Linked DNA regions of Macaca mulatta. The protein of the gene in region 3 binds, or shares a complex with, the protein of the main gene of each other region. Links are inferred from orthologs where the notes say so. Each region holds a gene or a part of one and is shown on either strand. Other genes may lie near its edges.

Evidence for each region.
Region 1: STX18 (region 3) and VTI1B share a complex: the UniProt entries of both Homo sapiens proteins name them as parts of the SNARE complex. The link is inferred for Macaca mulatta from reciprocal best matches to the Homo sapiens genes STX18 and VTI1B.
Region 2: STX18 (region 3) and BET1L share a complex: the UniProt entries of both Homo sapiens proteins name them as parts of the SNARE complex. The link is inferred for Macaca mulatta from reciprocal best matches to the Homo sapiens genes STX18 and BET1L.

The regions. Positions count from the first base shown.
Region 1 is NC_133412.1:140,847,109-140,854,154, reverse strand, and holds the start of VTI1B (vesicle transport through interaction with t-SNAREs homolog 1B), read left to right. Parts: upstream 1-2,460; 5' UTR 2,461-2,572; coding exon 2,573-2,687; intron 2,688-7,046. UniProt on the Homo sapiens protein: V-SNARE that mediates vesicle transport pathways through interactions with t-SNAREs on the target membrane. These interactions are proposed to mediate aspects of the specificity of vesicle trafficking and to promote fusion of the lipid bilayers.
Region 2 is NC_133419.1:79,474-86,755, forward strand, and holds BET1L (BET1-like protein), read right to left. Parts: upstream 4,587-7,282; 5' UTR 4,502-4,586; coding exon 4,483-4,501; intron 3,237-4,482; coding exon 3,145-3,236; intron 2,862-3,144; coding exon 2,805-2,861; intron 2,663-2,804; coding exon 2,495-2,662; 3' UTR 1,870-2,494; downstream 1-1,869. Other genes in the region: RIC8A (chaperone Ric-8A), read left to right, coding at 6,024-6,107, 6,444-6,491, 6,580-7,170. UniProt on the Homo sapiens protein: Vesicle SNARE required for targeting and fusion of retrograde transport vesicles with the Golgi complex. Required for the integrity of the Golgi complex.
Region 3 is NC_133410.1:8,443,494-8,450,694, forward strand, and holds the start of STX18 (syntaxin-18), read left to right. Parts: upstream 1-3,431; 5' UTR 3,432-3,449; coding exon 3,450-3,617; intron 3,618-7,201. UniProt on the Homo sapiens protein: Syntaxin that may be involved in targeting and fusion of Golgi-derived retrograde transport vesicles with the ER.

The sequences.
Region 1 (7,046 bases), on a different chromosome or scaffold from region 3:
TTTAACTTTGGTGGGGGAAAGAATTATAGGACCACAGTCTTCACTTCTGATATTTGTAAATTAATATTTTATTGAACTTGTTTTGACCATTAAGCTATATGTTTAGAAATGGTCATTTTATGGAAAAATTAGAAAAATTCTAATAGTGCAGAATAAATTAATGTTTTACTTAATTTATATTGAACTGTCAATGACAAATAAAAATGTTTTGATTATTTTTTGTTTTCATTTACCAGAATAAAAACTAAGAATTAAAAGTTTAATTACAGTCAAAAGAAGAAAACACTGTTCATTATTATGGTTATGCAATGATTTCTCATTCTAAAGAATAATTTGTCCCAGAGTCTAGCTACAGTGCAATCTCAATCCACATGCTATTAATTTAGGTTGTGTGATAATCTGATTATTCATTCACCATTTCCTACTTAACATTTTTTGACACTCTTCACAGATACTTTTCCCACATTTCTTGATCATCCCGGGCCATTCTTTTTTCTTTTCTTTTTTATTAGAGACAGGGTCTTGCTTTGTTGCCCAGGCTGGCGTCAAACTCTGAGCTCAAACAGTCGTCCCACCTCGGCCTCCCAAAGTGCTGGGGTACAGGTGTGAGCCATGGCGCCCGGCCCCAGGCTATTAATCTTTTTTTTGCACCTGCCCCTTATTTCTGTACTGTGACAAGTCCCAGCATTGTGTTGTGGGACTTACACAGTATACTGACAGTTACCTCAGACTTGGTCACGTCTGTGCTCAGTGCATATTAAGAGCTCAACCAAAGTGTGCTGAATCAACAGCCAATGAACTTGATCTAACAAAAATGAGGGCCCAGGAGATATAAATTAGCAAAGCATTTTCTCCTGAGCATTCATACATCTTTTAATATTTGTAGGCAGTTTAAAATTGAGCTCCCAAGCAAACATTTGAGAACAGACACCTTGAGCAAACCGTGAAATCGGTGAAAATAAGAATTTATTTTAATTTTTTTGAGATAGGATCTTGCTTTGTCACCCAGGCTGGAGTGCAGTGGCATGATCTCAGCTCACTGCAACCACTACCTCCCGGGTTCAGGTGATTCTCCTGCCTTAGCCTCCCGAGTAGCTGGGATTACAGGCGCCCACCACCACGCTCGGCTAATTTTTGTGATTTTAGCAGAGATGGGGGTTTCACCGTGTTGGCTAGGCTGGTCTCGAACTCCTGACTTCAAGTAATCCGCCCGCGTCGGCCTCCCAAAGTGCTGGGATGATGCTTGAGCCACCATGCCCGACCTGAAGACCGGCATTTATACCCATGGAGTGCAGGAAAGGACCTTGTAATTGTTAACAAGTGACACTTAGTGGCAGATGAGACCTAATGAAGCCAGGCCCACCTTCCACACCAGATTATAAATTCCCTCGGAGCAGAGAGTAAATGTTTTATTCACCAACATGCCCAGATCCCTCGCAATGCCTACGCTTGACAAACACCTGTTGTGAACAAGTGCACGAGGCAGCCTAGCAGCTAGAGTATTTCGAGGTCATCCTAACTGGGTTCCACTTTTGAATTTTTGTTTTTTGGGTTTGTTTGGAGACAAGGTCACCCTCCACTTGGGAGCAAAGTCTCCCAAGCTGGAGTGCAGTGGTGGGAACTCTGCAATCTCAACCTTGTGGACTCAAGTAATCCTCCTGCTTCAGCCTCCGGGGTAGCTGGGGCCAGAAGTGCGCGCCACCTTGCCCGGCTCCTATTTTGGGTTTCCGGTAGTGCTCTCGCTATTGTGACCAGGCTGGTCTCGAACTACTGGGTTCAAGCAATCCTCCCACCTCGGCCTCCCAAAGTACTGGGATTACAGACGCGAGCCACTCGCCCGGCCAAGTTCCACTTCTGAAAGCTTGGGGAGCAGCTGGGCCTTCCAGGAAAAGTGCTCCACCTCCCGACTGCAGGCAGAGCCCCCGGCCCGGCTCTTTCCAGGGCCTAAAGCTAACATTCGGTCAAGACGCGAAATGAGGAATTCGGGTCAGGGTGGCAAAGCAAAGCGCGATGACAGTGAGGACGACGTCTAGACGCAAACACACATCAAATCGGGCCGAAGCCCGCTGTCGCCTGGCGGGCTAAACCTGGCACCCCGGGCAACGCGCGACTCCGGCACCAGACGCTCTCCGAGTCAAACTACATCCCCCGGCGTGCACTGCAGCGCCCGCCCCTGGCCGGCCGGCGGGGCCTGGGAGGAAGGCGGCCGAGCTGCCCGTCCCGCAGGTCCCCTAGGGCCCTTTCTCTGCGGCCTTTCCCCACCCCGGACCGGGCACTTCTCGGGCTCTGCGACTACCATTCGCCCCGCTCGCTCCCTCAGGAGTCGCCTAGGCCGCGCAGTCTGCCGCCTTCCCGTCAGGCCTTCGCGCCGGCGCTCCCGCAATCACGGGCTAGAGAGGGTGGGCGTTCCGGCTCGGGAGGACCCTTCTGCGGCCCCGGAAGAGCCTCGTCCTGGGCAGCGGTGGTGCGGCGGTCGCCGTTATGGCCACGGGACTGGGCGGCTGACCGCCGGGCTAGGAGAGGGCCCAGAGCCCCGAATCTGGGTGGCCGCTGCTCGAGCGCGTCCTGCGCCATGGCCGCCTCCGCCGCCTCCTCGGAGCATTTCGAGAAGCTGCACGAGATCTTCCGCGGCCTCCATGAAGACCTACAAGGGGTGCCCGAGCGGCTGCTGGGGACTGCTGGGACCGGTGAGGCGCGGGTGGGCCACGCCGTGGGGAGCGCGGCCCCGCGCGCTTTGGAATTTTCCCCCACCTTCCTCCCAGACCCGGGCCCGCGTCTCCTTCCTCCGCGTCCTCAGACACGCCCCCTAGGGCTGGCTGGGTCGCAACCCCGGGTCTCCCTGCCACTGAGAGTGAATTGGGGACGCGCCCAGGGACGCGGGGTTCAGTTCCCTGGGTTCCTTCTATGGCCTTCCACATTTTCTCGTTTTTTTCCACTGCGGCAAACAGAGCAGAGGGGCTTTTACATCTGCGGTCCTGTAATGTAGCGTGGGTTTCTTTCGTAGCTGTTTTTGTTTGTTTTATGCATTTAGAAGCACTAGTGTCAAGACAGGTCTAGTTTTCACCAGACTGACAGAGGATCTGTAGCACAGAAAAAGGGTTAAAAACCCAAAAGAGTCATAATTTGGGGCGTTGGTATATACCTGTTATTGGAGGGTAGAGAGCTGGCCTTTAAAACCGTATGGTGGCGTTTAGATGTGGTCTTGTTTTGAACGTTTTTACTGCTGAGACTATTTACTACCCCTTCATTTCATGGTTCAGGTTGCTACAAGTTTTGTCTGGAGGAGCTAGAGTTTTCTGGCCCTAGATCCATAGGAAGACCTGCTATATATAGTTCTTGGCCTCCGGATATATAGAACTTGATGGCAAGGACAAAACTTTGTTTTATTGCTTTTATTTAAGGATCAGAGCTTGAGTGTTTGCTCAACGAATTACTCAAGGTCATAGGAATTGAATGACTCTGGTGAGAATGAAATGCATGTATTTAATATATATTTATTGTGAGGCTGCTGTGTGCCAGGCACTGTTCTAGGTGCTGGTGAATATTGCAAATTACAGTGAAAAAGACATGCACGTCCCCATTCTAGTGGGTAGGTGATAAACAATATATAACTATTAAGCGGCAGTGTTAAAGAATACAGGAAAATAAATCAGAGTAAAGGAATAGGGGATGGGACTTCAGTTTTATTTTATTATTATTATTATTATTATTATTTTTGAGACAGAGTCTTACTCTGTCATCCAGTCTGGAGTGCAGTGGTACGATCTCGGCTCACTGCAGCCTCCACTTCCCAGATTGAAGCAATTCTCCTGCCTCAGCCTCTGGAGTAACTGGGATTACAGTTGCGCCACCACCCCTGGCTAATTTTTTTTGTATTTTTAGTAGAGACGGGGTTTCACCATGTTGGCCAGGTTGGTCTCTAACTCCTGACCTCAAGCGATCCGCTTTCCTCGGGACTTCAGTTTTAAATAGGGCGGTTGTGAAAGTCCTCTGTGAGGAGATGGCATTTGAACTGAGACTTGAATGAAGAGAGGGAGTAAACCAGAAATCTGGGAGAAGTGAGTGTCAGAAGGAGGGAATAGCACTGCAAATGCCCTTAAGCGGAAATGAGCTTGGTGTGTTCAACGAAGAGCAGGAAGTTCCATGTGTTTGGGATGAAGTGAGCAAAGGAGAGAGGTAGGCAGGGCCAGATCATGTAGGGCCTTGTGGACCATGGTGAAAGACTTGTGCCTTTTTCTAAATATGATGGGATGCAGTTAAAATATATTGTGCAGAACCATTGTGGGATCTGATTTATGTGATTGAAAAGTTGACTGCAGGCAGGGCACGGTGACTCACACCTGTAATTCCAGTGCTTGGGGAAGCAGAGGCGGGCAGATCACTTGAGGTCAGGAGTTCAAGACCAGCCTGGCCAACATAGTGAAACCCTATCTCTACTAAAAATACAAAAATTAGCCAGGCATGGTGTCAGTTGCCTGTAGTCCCAGCTACTCAGGAAGCTGAGGCAGGAGAATTGCTTGAACCCAGGAGGCAGAGGTTGCAGTGAGCCGAGATCCTGCCGCTGCACTCTAGTCTGGGCAACAGAGCAAGACTCTGTCTCAGAAAAAAAAAAAAAAAGGAAAAGAAAAGACTGCAGGCTAGGCGTGGTGGCTCACACCTGTAATCCCAGCACTTGGGGAAGCTGAGTTAGGAGTATTGCTGTATTGAATGATTTTGAGAACAGCCTGGGCAACGTGGTGAAACGCCATCTCTACAAAAAATACAAAAATTAGCCAGGCATTGTGGTGCGTGCCTGTAGTCCCAGCTCCTGGGGAGGCTGAAGTGGGAGGATCACTTGCGCCCTGGAGCTGGAGGTTGCAGTGAGCCAAGATCGCACCACTGCACTCTAACCTGGATGACAGAGCAAGACTCTGTCTAAAAAAAAAAAAAGTAGACTGCATTTTCAACCTGGCACTGAGTTAATTTTTGCATTGCCCATTTCTATAAGGCTAAATAATGCAAAAGAACATTGCTTGAAAAATAGAAAATTGAATTCATTATTACTATGGTTTGAATGTCCCCTCTAAAACTTATGTTGAAATTTATTTGCCATTTTAATCGTGTTAAGAGGTGGGACCCATAAGAAATGATTAGACCATGAGGGCTCCATCCTCAGGGATTGGATTGTTATCCTGAGAGTGGGTTGGTTGCTGAGAGAGTGGGTTAGTTCAGCCCTCTCCTGCTTGCCTGCTCTCTTGATCTGTTGCTCTTCCACCTTCTGCCATAGGGTGACACATGGGTAGCAAGAAGGCCCTTGAAAGAATCAGGCCCCTCAGCCTTGGGCTTCCCAGCCTCCGGAACTCTGAGAAATACATTTCTTTTCTTTATAAATTACCCAGACTCAGCTATTCTGTTATAGCAACATAAAGCTAAGATAGTTACATTCACGTTTGTTGTCTCCCCAGCCTTTTTCTCCATCCTGCAAAGAGGACAGTCGGAAATATGTGATTTTTTTTTCTTTTTTTTGAGACAGAGTCTTGCTCTGTCACCCAGGCGGTGATACAATCTCAGCTCACTGCAACCTCCACCTCCTGGGTTCAAGCGATTGTCATGCCTCAGCCTCCCAAGTAGCTGGGATTACAGGCGCATGCTGCCACACCCAGCTAATTTTTGTATTTTTAGTAGGCATGGGGTTTCACCATGTTGGCCAGGCTGGTCTCAAACGCCTGACCTCAAGTGATCCACCCGCTTCGGCCTCCCAAAGTGCTGAGATTACAGGCGTGAGCCACTGTGCTCAGCAGAAATAGGTGAATTTCTACCCAACCACAAAATATTCTAAGTTGCTGGCAACAGACATAGTTGTAAATAAAGTATATACATATCCCTAGAATTGTAATAAGAAGTCCAGCAACTTTACCTCTTATTCACTGCCTCGTTCACACTGCTCAATAAATATTTGTTGAATAAATTGAATTTATCTAAGCAAACACATGATGCCTCATCTCTGAATCCGTCTTTTTCTAGTTCAGAGACCACATCATAAAGTTTTCAGCACTTTAATGCCCATCATGAATTATTAGGCACAGCATAATGTACATAATACAGCCCTTGCATGTAGCTTATGCTGTGTAATTGAATTATTTTTCAATAAACACTGAGAATTATTATGTATCAGCCACTGTCTGGGTCCTGAAGACTTCCAGAGTACTTACCTTAAAAAGAAACAAACGGCCGGGCACAGTGGCTCATGCCTGTAATCCCATCACTTTGGGAGGCCTAGGCGGGCGCATCACAAGGTCAAGAGATAGAGACCATCCTGGTAAACATGGTGGAACCTTGTCTCTACTCAAAATACAAAAATTAGCTAGGTGTGGTGACATGCGCCTGTAGTCCCAGCTACTCAGGAGGCTGAGGCAGGAGAATTAACTGAACCCAGGAGGTGGAGATTACAGCCAACAGAGCGAGACTCCATCTCAAAAAAAAAAAGTAAACAAACTTACAACAAAGTGTGTGATTAATTCTAAAATAAAGTTCTCAGAGACCATAAAAAAGGCTGGACTTGAGCATGGGGAAGAGAGGGGAAGCTTCAAAAAACTTCAAACTGAATATAACGGGTTAAATGGGAGTTTGCTAAACAGGGGAAATGCAAAGAGGCAACACAGGAGTTAAAAAATGGAATACCCCCAACTCTGGAGCTTAGAATGTATATGGGAAAGTAGTAGTAGATGGGGCAGGTGAAACAGCCAGATTGTGAGGGGATCTTAGTGTGACATTGAGACGTTTGGACTTGATATGGAAAGTCAGTAAAGGACTTAAAGCAGTTGATTGATGTGGATTTTCTTTTAGAAGGAGGGCATTAATGGCTAGACAGAGGATGAGAGAGATCTCAAGAATCTGGGTATAGGGGACTGTGTTAAGAGCCTTTTGGGCAGTTGCCTTGGTAACACAGGAATTTGTTTGACACAGGGTCTCACTCCTGTCTCCTGTCATCCAGGCTGGAGTGCAGTGGCACCATCACTGCTCACTGCAGCCTTGGCTTCCCAAGCTCAAGTGATCCTCCCACCTCA
Region 2 (7,282 bases), on a different chromosome or scaffold from region 3:
TATAGTCAGCAAACCCCACTCATTTACAGGGTCAGGTGCACAGGGCTGAGCTGGAGGGTTAGGGTCAGGGCCCCTCAAGAACTCTGGTCAGGCACAGCAGCAGCAGGGTTGCCACTCTCCCTTTATGGAATCCTTCTTAATACAACAAGAGGCCGGGCGTGGTGGCTCAAGCCTGTAATCCCAGCACTTTGGGAGGCCGAGACAGGCGGATCACGAGGTCAGGAGATCGAGACCATCCTGGCTGACACGGTGAAACCCTGTCTCTACTAAAAAATACAAAAAACTAGCCGGGCGAGGTGGTGGGCGCCTGTAGTCCCAGCTACTCGGGAGGCTGAGGCAGGAGAATGGCGTGAACCCGGGAGGCGGAGCTTGCAGTGAGCTGAGATCCAGCCACTGCACTCCAGCCTGGGTGGCAGAGCGAGACTCCGTCTCAAAAAAAAAAAAAAAAAAATACAACAAGAGTGAGAAGCAGAAAAGCAAACCACAAAGGAAGTCCAGCCTAGACCCCAAATTACCTGGGAGGGCTGCTAACAGCCATGGAGACAGGTGGGGAGGGAACACAGTGACTGAGACTCCGAGACAGCAAAGCACCTCTCCAGCGAAGGCCAGTCCGAGATGCAGCCTAACTTCCTAGTTCACATCAGCAAGGTGGGCGGGTACCACCATGGGAAGGGCACCTGGGGTATAGCTGGTTACCACAGCTCAACCACATTCCCCAAAATGGAGGTCAGCCCTCCATGGCCCAGGAAAATATGGGAGATAAAGGGTTGGCACCTGCAGTGACCAGATGGAGACCCAACGCAGGCAGCTGCTACCATGCTTGGAGACCAGGGTACAAGCCCCTGACGAGCTCGCCGTGGCAGACAAGCACACTGGTGCCTGAGGAACGACAGGCGCCTGCAAAGGGACATCCGAGAAGGGGGAAGCACCAGCCCAGCTAGGTTTCAGGGCAACAGCAAAGCCCCAGAGACATGGAGGCAAGTGAGTCCACCTTGCTGGGTGAGAAGTGAGCTCGCACTGCATAGGGGAAGACGGTGGACCCCACTCCTCCAGGAGGCTGACAGCCTCAGCCAGGTACAAAGGAGGGCTCAGGTAACAAGGAAGGGGGCTATGGTGAGCGTGCATGGAGAAAGGTGGGCTTGCTGTGTGGAAGGAAGAAGGAGGGGAGGGGAAGGGTGAGCAAAGTGGGGCTGCAGGTACCAGGCTGTGGCTCATCTGTGGTCAGCCTGGAGCTCAGAGGCAGTTCTGGATTGACAGGACACACAGTGTGGCCACACAGGTTGCGGGACAGTGATCCCATAGTCCCCAGGGAATGACTGGGAGGCAGAAGATTGGAACAGCACAGAGAAGGGCACAGAGCTTTAAAGGTGTTTTTAGGCCAAGGGGGCAAGGACCTCATCTTGGGGTGGGGAAAAGCCGTTGCCCTGCCAGTCTAGTTGTTTGAACATGAGCCCAGCCCAGTGGACAGGGAAGGCCCAGGGAGAGGTGGGTAGGGAGGGTATCCTGCAGAGGCTGGGGACAAGGAGGATGGCACAGAACGCCATCACAGCCAGAGGAGTCTGGCAGGGCTTGGCAGAGGCGCCAGAGTTACCAGCAAGCTAGATGGCAACAACTGATAGCCTCTCAGGAACCTTCTTGTGTAGACCCACAATGGCTCCCCGGCCCTGCCTGCTTTGCCTGACTCTGAAATGCCAGAGAGGCCCATTTCTAGGTCTGTTCTTCTGAAAACACATCTCTGGTGCTGGGTAGATTCTGAATCCTGAGAATACAAGTTTCTGCTCCTGGATACACAGTCACAGGACCCAGAAGGATCCCACCCAGTGGCTAGGCCAAGGCTGCAGTCCACTCCTTCATCCACAACCCGTTCTCCCCAGGGGTCTCACTTCATCCGCAGGACTGGAGAGTAGGCACAGAGAACTCACAGCAGGGTGGCCCGCACTGGTCTCCTGTGCTCAGCAACCATGGCCAGGAGTAACTGCCATCTCCAGGCTGAGAAGCCTCAGTTGGAGGAGATAGCACCCACTTAGGGTTCACAGCCCCTTCCTGTGTCAGTTCCAGGAACCTTGGATCACAGACATGGCCTCATCCAGACAAGGACACGACCGTGGAGCCTTCAGATGTCAGCGTCCCAAGAGCTGGGAGAAAGGCTGCAGGCCACAGGTGGCCACGCCTGGGATTCAACAGTTGCTCTGCTCAGACCTGGCTCCTCCAGACACGCTGCGGCCCCAGCTCTGCTTGTGTCTCTAGCATCTGGGGAAGGGGGGAGGGGCTGGGCCTTGGTTTCCCCGAAAGAGTCCCTTCCACACATGGGACCAGCCAACATGAGCTCATCAGGTCACAGGCAGCCGCAGCCTCCTGCCACACAGAAAGGATTCCTGGCCCACGATTATAATTTCAAAGGAGTACTTTGCAGGTAAGTCCTCTGGAGCCCAAGATGCCAGGCAGGGAAGACAATGGCTGCCCTTGGCACCCACAGACACCAGCTCCCACTGTCTCACGTCCTTGCCCTCGACAAGAAGTAGGAGAGGATGAAGAAGGCCACAATCAGACCCACAGCCATGCCACATAGAAGCTTCCGGTTGTCTCGTCCGGACCTTGCCATTGCGGAAAAGCGCTTCACACTCCCTGTAAGCAGGCCGGTCATGCTTGTGAAATCCGAGTCCTAAGGGAAGAATCCCGGCAAGATCACACAGAAGTGGTGATTTGACCACCCACCCGCACCAGTGCTGAAGGAGACACTGCAAGCTCTGTAGCAGGTAGTGCTGGGGGCAGGGCACTGATTCGCGCACACCGTGGGCCCTTACCATGCCATCCAGGTACCGGTTCTGATCCTCTGCATCCCTATCGATGTCCAGGGCGAGCTGTTCAGCACACAGAGAGGGCAGGGTTGGGCCAGAGCAGACACATAATACAGCACTCACCCTTCCCAGACCAGACAAACCCTGCCAACAACTCTGCCAGACACAGTGGGGCAGCAGCAGGAAGGTCCAGGTGTCAGCTGGGGCCTCATGCAGGTGAGCACAGCCACGAATCGAACGAGGAGGACGGCAAACTGCCTGAAACTCCTCTGGGCCCTCTACCTTCCCTCTGATCCCCATTCCCCAAGGGCACCAGGTGGAGGTAAGAGGACAGACCACCACTGACCGATTTGAGCCTGGTGACTTTGGAGGCCAGGCTGTCGGCCATTCGCTTGTTCTCCCGGTCTAGAATCTCTTCCACAGCGCCCGGGCTCTGAGCTGAGAAAAGAGAGGGGCTGAGTGATTGCATCCATCGGGGAGCGAGGCCTCTGACCCCTCTCACTCCAACCACAACTGGGTGAGTCAGAAATCTAGGGGACCTAACCTAGGTTCCAGCAGGTGAATCTTGCACATGTGAGAGAGACTGCATAAAGGACGATGTGTGCAAGGGCCTGTCATGTGAACACGTGTCCTGTGTACACATCCAGGTGGGGATGGGCCAGCACCCACAGTGGGTTCAGTCCAACCAGCACCTTCTGAGACTGTGTAGCAAAAACTGGGCCCAGCTCTGGGATGTTAATAAGATGTGACACTTGCATCCAGGGAGGTCGCCATCTGTGTATGTGGAGCCCATTCTTATAGAAAAAGAGTAAACTCTGCTAAGAGCATAGGAAAGACTTGGGAAAAGTACCCAGCAGGGCAGCAGAAAGGCTCCTGCAGGGACGACCTTTGAGCTGGGTCCTGAAGAGGTGGCAAGGAACCAGGACAGAACATTGGGAAGGCCCTTTACCGCACAGAAAACAGCTGAGCAAAGTTCCCAATTCCGCGAGATGGGAGCTGAGGTCGACCAGGAGCGTGATCCCTGGTCTGCATCCCACACAGGGCTTCCTGCAACACCCAGAGCACAGCGCTTGCAGAGGCCCGGCCTGTGACAGGCTGGGCCAGGTGATAAGGAATTTCTGTCACCTCAGGTGGGTGAGAACCACCTTCTCCCTAGCTTCAACGTTAAGGAAGGGATGCCAGCGTCCTTCCAACCACTTCCTGTTCATTAATTCCTTTACTCATCATAACTCAGACAGGCATCAATATCCCACTTTGCAGAGAAGAACACGGGCTCCAGGAGGGGAAATGGGGCCACCGAGGCCCAAGTTAGTTAGCAGAGGCCTGCCTGGACACCAGCGGAGCACAGCCTACTCCGAAGGCCTGGCCTCGGGACCTGTCGAATGCCGAGACTCCCGCTCACCCTGAACCCATGCAAAACGATCTCACAGGGAGCGGCGGGGAGTGGGGGGACCCCGCAGCTGCGCGACCCCTCGCTGGAGCTGCTGGGCCGCCCCGCCCGCCGTCCTTCCTAGCGGCAGTGCTGGCCGAAACCCGGCCCTGCTGGGACCCGGAAGGATCCGAATCCGCCCCCCTGACAGGGTCCTCCCCGCCGAGGCCAGAGGCAGGCGCACGCGGCTCTACAGGCAGCGGCGTCGGTTCCGGCCCGGCCCTGCCCCCAACGGCTCCGCTCTCCCGCGCTCACCCCGAGCCCAGTCCGCCATCGTGCCCTGCCCCGGCTCCTCGACGCCAACACCGACGCGGCCACAGCCGCCTCAGACGTGGCGCAGTCACGGGGAACGGGCTTCCGGCCCCGCCCCCCGCCAGCGATGGCCCCGCCTCCGCGCCAACCACGCCCCTAGATGGCCCAGCCGCTTCCGCGTCGGGCTCGCTGATTTCCGGCTTAGGCCCGAGGGTGGGGAACCGCGGGGTCGCGGAAGCGATGGGCGTCGCTGTGACTTATTTTCAGCACTGTCGCCCAGGCAGTGGCGCGATCTCAGCTCACTGCAGCCCCCGCCTGCCGGGCTCCCAAGGTGCTGGGATTACAGCAGCACCGCGGATGTGACGTTTGTTTGTTGTTCCTGTGAACGTGGGGCGGGGCGGGGCCGTTTGCTTGCTCAGTGCCAAGACGATGGTGGTGGAAAGACGCTGCCATGCGTTAGGTCCTAACGGTTAGGAAGGATTCACAGGCGGGTCATGAGGGAGGAGTAGGCCCCTCGGGCAGAAGCCCGCGAGGAGCCCTGGGTGTGGAGGGGGCAAGGGTGCCTCCTCTGTCAAGTGGAGATCGGCGCCTCGCTAGTGCCTGCGAGTGCGCGCCGCGTCGAATACAGGTGTGCGGAAAGCGCTACAGGAAAGTGAAGCAGGGAAAGAGACTGGGAGGCGGCACGGGGAGTGGGGGCCGTAGACGCCTTTGCTCCCGGGCACTTGTTACAAGAGCCAGTGGACCGCGCTTCCTGTGCGTCACTGAATCCTCCTGATGGCCACTGAAACGGACACGCAGGATCTTTGCTTGTCAAGAGGGAACTGAGTCCAGGCCAGACTGCGTTGCTCCCCTTTCTCTCGGCCCCTCACGGCCCTTCCACCTTTGCAAGTGCTGCTCCTTCTGCCTGGAGTGGCTCCTCCAGTCTTTTCCCAGCTCGCTTCCCATCGTCCAGTGTTAGCAAAAACACCACTTCCTCACAGCCCTTGCAGCCCAGCAGTCACCTTTTGCTTCTTTTGAAGCACAGCCCTGTGACCGCCTCATGTCCTTTTGTTTTTCCTTGTCTGCCTTCCCCTCTGGAACATAAGCTCCACAAAGGCAGGGGCCTGGGAGTCCCGTTCGCCTGCATTCCCCAGCAAACGCCTAACGAACCCAATGGCCCGGGACTGAAAAGTCCTTTCCACTTCGGCTTTCCCGTCTACATCCCATCGGTTCTGTGGAGCTCGAGGGGCGTCACTGTGTGTGTGGCAGGGCGCGGTGGGGGCTGAGATCCTTTCCTGTTGGAAATTCCGGCCCAAGAAGCCCCGGTCACAAGGAGGGGGATCAGTCCGGTTCAGGGCGACTCGGCCCGACTCGGGTCTTCCGAGCCGCCAGTGCTGCCTCAGGCCGCGCCCCCTTGAAGCGCCACCAGACGCCGCGTCCCGTCCCGGCCTCCCCCGCGCGCTGGCGCGGGGCTTTCTGGGCCAGGGCGGGGCCGGCGAACTGCGGCCCGGAAAGGTTGAGGAAGGGCCCGTCCCGCCTTCCCCGCGCCGGGTTCCGGGGGCGCCATGGAGCCCCGGGCGGTTGCAGAAGCCGTGGAGACGGGGAAGGAGGATGTGATTATGGAAGCTCTGCGGTCATACAACCAGGAGGTGAGCGGCCGCCTGAGGCCGGGGGGCGGGCACGGAGGGGGTGGGGCAGGGTCGTGCGCGGGTGGTCGGGACGGTGTGGGTGAGGCAGGGGTTGTGTCAGCAAGCAGAGGGGACGCGGCGGGGTGGGGGTGGCACGTCAGGGATGCAGTGTTGGGGGGAGAGTGTCTGGGGTGCACCCGTTGGGTGGCAGGTGTGTAGGGATGGGGGCGAGTGTAGACCCTGCCACCCCTTCTGAGCAGTGGCTGCTGCCTGAGTTAGAGGCCAATAGGCCGCCCCCCGTCAGCGGGCGCGGATACTGCCCCTCTGTGGACTTGAATTCACTCGTTCTCTCTGCAGCACTCCCAGAGCTTCACGTTTGATGATGCTCAACAGGAGGACCGGAAGGTGGGTGCTGGCCCGAGGGGTAAAGGGACAGGGACGGGTGGCCCCAGGAAGAGGGGCCTGGTGGAGCCGCTCGTCTCCCTGCCCACAGAGACTGGCGGAGCTGCTGGTCTCCGTCCTGGAACAGGGCTTGCCACCCTCCCACCGTGTCACCTGGCTGCAGAGTGTCCGAATCCTGTCCCGGGACCGCAACTGCTTGGACCCGTTTACCAGCCGCCAGAGCCTGCAGGCACTGGCCTGCTATGCTGACATCTCTGGCTCTGAGGGGTCCGTCCCAGACTCCCCCGACATGGATGTTGTACTGGAGTCCCTCAAGTGCCTGTGCAACCTCGTGCTCAGCAGCCCTGTGGCACAGATGCTGGCAGCAGAGGCCCGCCTAGTGGTGAAGCTCACAGAGCGTGTGGGGCTGTACCGGGAGAGGAGCTTCCCCCACGATGTCCAGTTCTTTGACTTGAGGCTCCTCTTCCTGCTAACGGCACTCCGCACCGATGTGCGCCAGCAGCTGTTTCAGGAGCTGAAAGGAGTGCATCTGCTGACTGACACACTGGAGCTGACGCTGGGGGTGACTCCTGAAGGGAACCCACCCAAGCTCCTTCCTTCCCAAGAGACTGAGCGGGCCATGGAGATCCTCAAAGTGCTCTTCAACATCACCCTCGACTCCATCAAGGGGGAGGTGGACGAGGTGAGCCCTGACCTCAACCCATGGATGGGTCTCAACTCAGCTCCAACATTTCCTGGACCTGCTTCCCACTGGGTACCTTCAGGTTTCTGGGTGTCAGACATGGAGAGAACAG
Region 3 (7,201 bases):
TCATATTTACTTAAGGACTCAAGCTGATGGAACATTGGAACATTAGAGGTTGTCACAGCAGAGGGAAAAGAGAGCATGGTGAATCATACATTAGCTCCTAAATTCGCTGCCCAGAAATGAGACGTTGGTTTTCACTGGCAGCCTACATCTAGTCTCCTTGTATAGGAGTTTCTGCTGTAGGGAGCAATATTTAGGGATGCCAATACAGTTGATCCTTGATGACTCCTCCACCCTTCACAGTTGGAAATTCGTGTATAACTTCTGACTCCCTAACATCTTAACTAATAATAGCCTACTGTTGACCAGAATCCTTATCAATAACATCAACAGTCACTTAACACATATTTTGTATGTCATATGTATTAGATATTGTATCCTATCGATAAAGTAAGCTAGAGAAAATGGTATTAAGAAAATAATCAGAAGGGAAAATAAATTTACTATCCATTAAATAGAAGTGAATCATCAGAAAGTAAAGGTCTTCATCCTCACCATCATCACATCGAGTAGGCTGAGGAGCAGGAGGGGTTGGTTTTGCTGTCTTAGGGGTTGCAAAGGCAGAAGAAAGTCTGAGTATTAGTGGTCGCATGCAGTTCAAACCTGTGTTGTTCAAGAGTCGACTGTGTATTTTTCAGAACAGTGTCTGGCCCAATGAATGTTTGCTGAACGCATAAAGAAAACATAATTTGTGTACTACATCCAACTGGGCAGTTGAGTACTACGTCCAACAGGCCAGGCATGGTGGCATGCACCTATAGTCCCAGACACTCAGGAGGCTGAGCCGGGAGGATCATTTGAACCCTGGAGATGCAGTAGTATACTCTTATATTTCTGCTCATCCTTTTAATCCACATCCCCTCTCAGCTTTATGGGGCTTAATATAGTTATTAGTCAACTGTCAACTGAAGTCATTTTGCTCTTTGAAATTAAAGAATAAACACAAAATTTAAAAAGCACAACCCCATATCCCACGGTCTGTGGAAAGTTCAGCAGCCACCTCAAGATCTTTGTGACTTATCTAGGAATTTTATGCCCTCTGGTCACTTGTGGATTTACAACCTGATGTTTTGAGCTCAACTTGGGTCTTATATCCACCACAATCTTCTCTGCTCTTGCAAATCCAGACAGAAAACTTAGATTTTTGTCCCTACCCTTCTACCCAAAATATCCAACTGCAACAAACACGCTGTTCACACAAGGCACCACTCACTGAAGGCTTGATGTAGTTCAGCCTCCCTCCCACTCAAAGATCCTTCCCAGTTACCTACTTTGTACTTTCCTGGCCCCCTCCCTGGGTTCTGGCTTCTCTTTTTCTCCCCTCAATTCAATCCCCCTCACTTTACTATGCAGGGCAATCTCTCTTTCCTTCTACTCTGCCCCAAGCTTAACTTTGCATAGCCAAAAACTGATTAATGTCTGGATTAAACAAAGGGCCATTTATGCAAGATAGAATCATTGGCAGAGGTTTTGTAATTTCTTTCTCTTTTCCGCAGTAGGTGGAAGAAAGCTGTATGGAAATTCATTTTCCTTAAACTGCAAGAAGTGGCTACAGTTTGGGTTTAAATAATCTTTTCCTGGCTAGGTGAGGTGGCTCACGCCTGTAATCCCAGCACTTTGGGAGGCAGAGGCGGGAGGATCACAAGGTCAGCAGATGGAGACCATCCTGGCTAACACGGTGAAACTCCATCTCTACTAAAAATACAAAAAAAATAGCTGGGCGTGGTGGCGGGCGCCTGTAGTCCCAGCTACTGGGAAGGCTGAGGCAGAAGAATGGTGAACCCGGGAGGCGGAGCTTGCAGTGAGCCGAGATCGTGCCACTGCACCCCAGCCTGGGGGACACAGTAAGACTTCGTCTAAAAAAAAAAAAAAAAACTTTTCCTTCCTCCTTTCTGGTAAATATACACTTTCTTGACATCTATTTCTGATAAACTTTATTTCTTTAACACAGTGTTCTCAAACTTTTGGTCTCAACTCTTTTGCACACTTAAAAATTATTAAGGGCTCTAAACAATTTTTGTTTATATTGACATTATCGACATTCACTATATGAGAAATTAAAAACTTTTGATGTTTTTGAAAATCTTTTTTTTGAAGTCTGGCTTAATAGAAAACAGCTGTTCTGCATTTATTCCGTTGCAATATCACAGTCTAGCAAACTCAACTGTATGCAACTCATGAGAAAGTGAGAGTGAAAAGGCAAATAACATCTTAGTATTATGAAAATACTTTTATATTGACCATTAAAACCACTATTTTAATACACATTCTACTTGTGCATCCTCTTTATGGAAAAAAAAATCTTGAAGAAATCAATGAGATTTTGAATATCCTTAGGCCAGCCATGGTGGCAAGTGCCTACAGTTCCAGCTACTCAGGAGGCGGAGCCGCGGAGGATCGTTTGTGCCCTGGCGTTCCAGTCTGTAATGAGCTAGGATGGCGCCTCTGAATAGCCACTGCAATCCAGCCTGGGCAACATAGCAGACCCCCATCTCAAAAAACAACACAAAACAGAACCATGAACCAAAAATGCAGAAGAAACTCATTGACTGACTTGTCAATTTTAATAGCTATGGCTCAAGACGGTACAATTAAAAACTATGCATGAAGGAAGAACAGAATCCAGCGACATTAGGGCCACTCTTTCACCTTTGCCTCCATCTAAAGTTCCTATTCATCCTTCAAATCTCTGCACAGGTGACGCCTTTTCTCTACAGCCTCTTCCATCACCACAAATACGAGTGATTATAATAATATTATTAACGATTACTACCATTTATTGGCCACTTACTAGGAGCCAAGCAACATCAAAACACAGCACGCGTCAGCTCACTTAATTTTCACAGTAAACTCCGAGGAGGATGCTGGCTTCACTTTACAAAGAGGTGACTGAAGGGTGGAGAAGAAAGACCTCTGGCCTCTAGCTCTATGCCTTGCACATCTGCTCTGTCTCAGCACTTATTGCACCCCGAGGGTCACCGTCCAAGTGCCTCTGTCCTGCTCAAGGTGAGTCCTTGCAGTCAAAGGTCAAGGGTGGCTCGCCTCCACGTCCCCCGCAACCAAACCGCCCGCTCTCAGTGAGGGAGCCACCAGAAGGGAAGGAGCCTCCCAGCTTCCCGGTCCTCACGCTCCCGGAGCCCACACGCCCCAAAAAAGCACAGGAGAGCTCGCTGAGCTCTCCGCGCTGCTAAACCCTCCAAGCTTTGCCGGGAGAAAGAGGTGCCCGTGAGCTCGTCGCGGGGTTCCTCCTCCGCCAGGTGCGCCGCTGAGTTCGGAATCTTTTTCCTCCCGCCGCGGTAGCGGGGCTCAGGCCGGAACCTTTCTTCTCGCATCGCAGTTGCCGGTGGGGAGGAGTGCGGGGCAGGACCAGTCCTCCAGCGGCCGGGTTCTCGCCGCGGTCGCCGGCTGCTTACGTGAGCCGGCCCAGTGTGGGGCTGCGGGTACGGGTCGCTATGGCCGTGGACATCACGCTGCTATTCCGGGCCAGCGTCAAGACCGTGAAGACGCGGAACAAGGCGCTGGGAGTGGCGGTGGGCGGCGGGGTCGATGGAAGCCGGGATGAGCTGTTCCGCCGGAGCCCCCGGCCCAAGGGCGACTTCTCCAGCCGGGCCCGCGAAGTGGTGAGCTGGTTGCTATGGAAACGGCGGGTTGAGGAGGGGGCAGTCCTGCGACAGGGACCCCGAGCCCCAAACCACACCCCGTCCCATAAGCATTGTGTGAAGGAGGTGGCCCCAAGGGGGACAGGAGAGTTGGCCTCAGAGACCGGACAGCTTTTTGGGGAAGGAACAGCCTTATTTTAAGGAAGGGGGACGCATATTGGGGAACAGATTTCTCCTGCGGCGGCGGGGGTTGGGGGACGAGGAAGGAGACCCTCAGAAATCTCTATCTGGAAAGTGCACGGGCGGCTTTGTGAGGTCATGAGTTCGCCGTCACTACAGACTTGCACTCAGGGGAAACCTCACTGTCCTTCACTTCCTGTTGCAGAACTGACCACACCGTATTTGCCTGTGCTCTTTACTTGTCTGCCTCCCATCCCCAGATGAGATTAAAAACCATATTCATCCGAACTCTTTCTTCTCTTTGTCTCCGCGATAAGTAGGGCTCAGTTCCTCTTGAGACGAGTTTAGGGTCATCTTTCGCAAACACGGTGTTACAGTCATCTCAACTACTTTCTGTTCCCTGATCAGAGCAGGTGTCCCTTCATTTCTCTGGGAACAGGAACCTTTTCCTTAAGGGCAGGGACAGTTGTTTTCATCTCACAATGCATGACTCATAGCATTGCTTAGTAAATGTTTGTTGAATGAATGAATGAACAAAATGGCTGTCTTTCCCGTTAAACAGAAAATTCCATGAGGGGAGAGATGTTTGTCTTGTTCCCTTTTGTGTCCGTGACACCAAGGAGGGATCTAGGTTTTGTGGGGCCGAAAGTTTTTATAGTTATGTCTGCCGTCTTTAAGAAATAAAAATCACCAAGAGAGATTCAGAGCTTTGGAAGATGGAAGTGAGGGACCCCGAAGCTAAAACCTCATTAATTTCACAGTAAATCCTACTCTGCTTGGCATACACTTGGCACTGCATAGACACTCAGATGTTTTCGAATGAATGTATGCATGCATGCATTAATGACAGTTAGCAGAGGATACTTAAACATCAGAAAGGGGTTGGACCAGATGAATACACTCTCCCTATTGATGAACATCTATGAAGCACCTACTTTCTGACCAGCCTCATGTTAGAGTAATATGATGTAAAAGGAGTAGTGGAGTAGACGGACATAGACATAAAACAAGTGCCATAAAGCCTTGCAAGTGTTATGTAGGGCACAAAGAAGAATGTGGTCAGTTCTACCTGAGGATCAGAAAAGGCTTTATAGAGGTGATGATGCCCAAAACAAATCTTGAAAGAGGATTAGTTGGCTGCAGTGCAGAAGGGCATCTCAGGCTAAAAGAATAGTATGCGCTAAGATGTGGAGGTGTGTAAGAGTCTGATATAAGTTGGTTCAATAAACATTTGAGTGAGACTGGTATGTGGGACTCTCATAAAAATTGGACCGGGAGAGATCTTAAAGGGCTTTGTATATCACTGCGGAGTTTGAATTTTGCCCTCTAGGCCGTCAGATGTTATATGGTAGAGAAAGTACCAGAGAAGGAGCCAGGAGACCAGGTTGTTGTCTGAACCCTGCAACTGTTAGCTATATGATTTCATTAAGCAAGTGTCAAGACCTCAGTTTATTTACCTGTAAATGGTCTTTTTTTTTCTCCTCCTCCTTTTAAAAAACTACCCTGGTCCTCTATATATAACAAATTAAAGTGGAAGCTTCCTAGGCTGAAATGAGAGGAAGAGAAACAGGACACTCTCCCTCCCAGTTTGGCCTAAGCACTTCCTGGGGTTCCTTTTGTAGAACCGTGGTATGAATATCACAGTATTGGCGTTGTAAGGGTCCCTTCTGACTCTGAAACCACTGATTTATGAACACTGTGCTAATTTTGAGTCCTGCTCAGGGAAAGGGGGGATTTGGGAATGGTCGAGACAAGAGGCACAGTTGAGTTGGCAAGCCCTTTGGATAGCCCTGTGATCACTTCCACCGCTCCCTGAGTGGTGAAAATGTGTTTTAGACTTTTGAGTTAATGGGCCTCAGGGACAGTAACAGTCCTGTAGGGTGCTGAGTTCCCTGTCACTGGAAGTAATTAAACAGAGTGATGACTGCTTTTCAGAGATGTTTGAGAAGAACTTTGTGCATATGTCATAGGTTTGGACCGCGTGACAGTGAAACTTCCAATTCTGCTATGTATTGATGTGAGTAGGTGTCACATTACCTTAAGTGAGTACATGGGCTGTGTTGTTCAGGGACACTGTCCCCCTGACGTAGAGGAAACATACATTCTTGTAAGCAATTTTGATTTTGTGTTGTCATTGCTTTGCGTATTATCTCCTGTTCTTCCAACCATTCCCCACTCCCCATCTTCTTTTGTGGGAATTTTAACTAGAAGAGCTAGTGATGGATGTCCTGTGCTTTCACTATGATTAGATGTGTCAAAAGTTTGCCTGTTATTTTGTTTGGCCTGGATTCCTTATACAGAAAAGTCTGGTCAATACCAGAAGCACATATTCTAATTCAGGTTTAGCCCTGGTTGTCAGACTTAATGAAATGTAGTAAGTTATAGTATGCCTTTTGGTAAGTGCCTTCCTTGAAGCATTTGCTGTTACTTCTAGGATGCGTTTTAATCTGGTTCAATTTCTGTTCTTCCATTCCATTCCTCTAATACATGCCTGATGCCAGATTTCCATCTCACTGAATTGTTGTAAAGGTTATATTAAGTTTCATAAAATTGCATTGAAACTAAATCTTCCTTCCCTACCTCCCACCAATAGACTGATTTCTTCTGCATCATTCTTTTAAACATTTAACTTTTATGTTCAATTTTGCTAAATTTATATGTACTCAAATGCATGTCTACCCATTAAATTACAAATGGAGAGTAATGACTTTTCAGATTATCTGGGGGAGGAACTTATATTATTCGAACAACTCCAAATAATAATGAATATGTCACTCTGCAATGGGAATTTGATTAGTTAACTCATTTGAAGTGTGGGACTAATGAGGACGGTGGGATTGGAAAGAGACCTGGGCCTTGGGTTCAAATCTGGCTTCTCTTACTTAGAAATGGGTGAACTTGGGCAAGTCTGACTCTCATTTTCCATTTCTATAAAATGGACATGATAATACCCTACCTAACTCACAAGCTAAGTAGGGTAGCTTGTGAGTTACCCTACTCACGTAGTCTATATGTATATATTTTAAGAAACCAGAGTAATTATTATTGTTCCCCTCAAATACCTCCCCCCTCCTCATGTAGGCCATTTAGACATATTTTCTTTAGTGGCACCAAGCTATATTTTCCAAACCACTTAGTTTTCTTGCACTTTCATTCCTTGCTTATAAAGGGGAGCCAAGTTAAATGCATGAGGAATGAGTGAAAATCCTGGGTAGGTACTGATGAATCAGTGATGGTGCAGAAGTACTGTCTGCATTTGTAAAAGACGGTAGCATTTCTTTGCCAAGGTGAAACTCTTTCAGTGATGGCAGATGTGTGGCAGGTAGGCAGCTGTTACTTTCTTTTCTTCCTTGTGATCATGGAAGTCAATGCTCATAACTTCGTGGATCCCTAGAGCTCAGAATTCTTTGCAACATTGTCCCCCA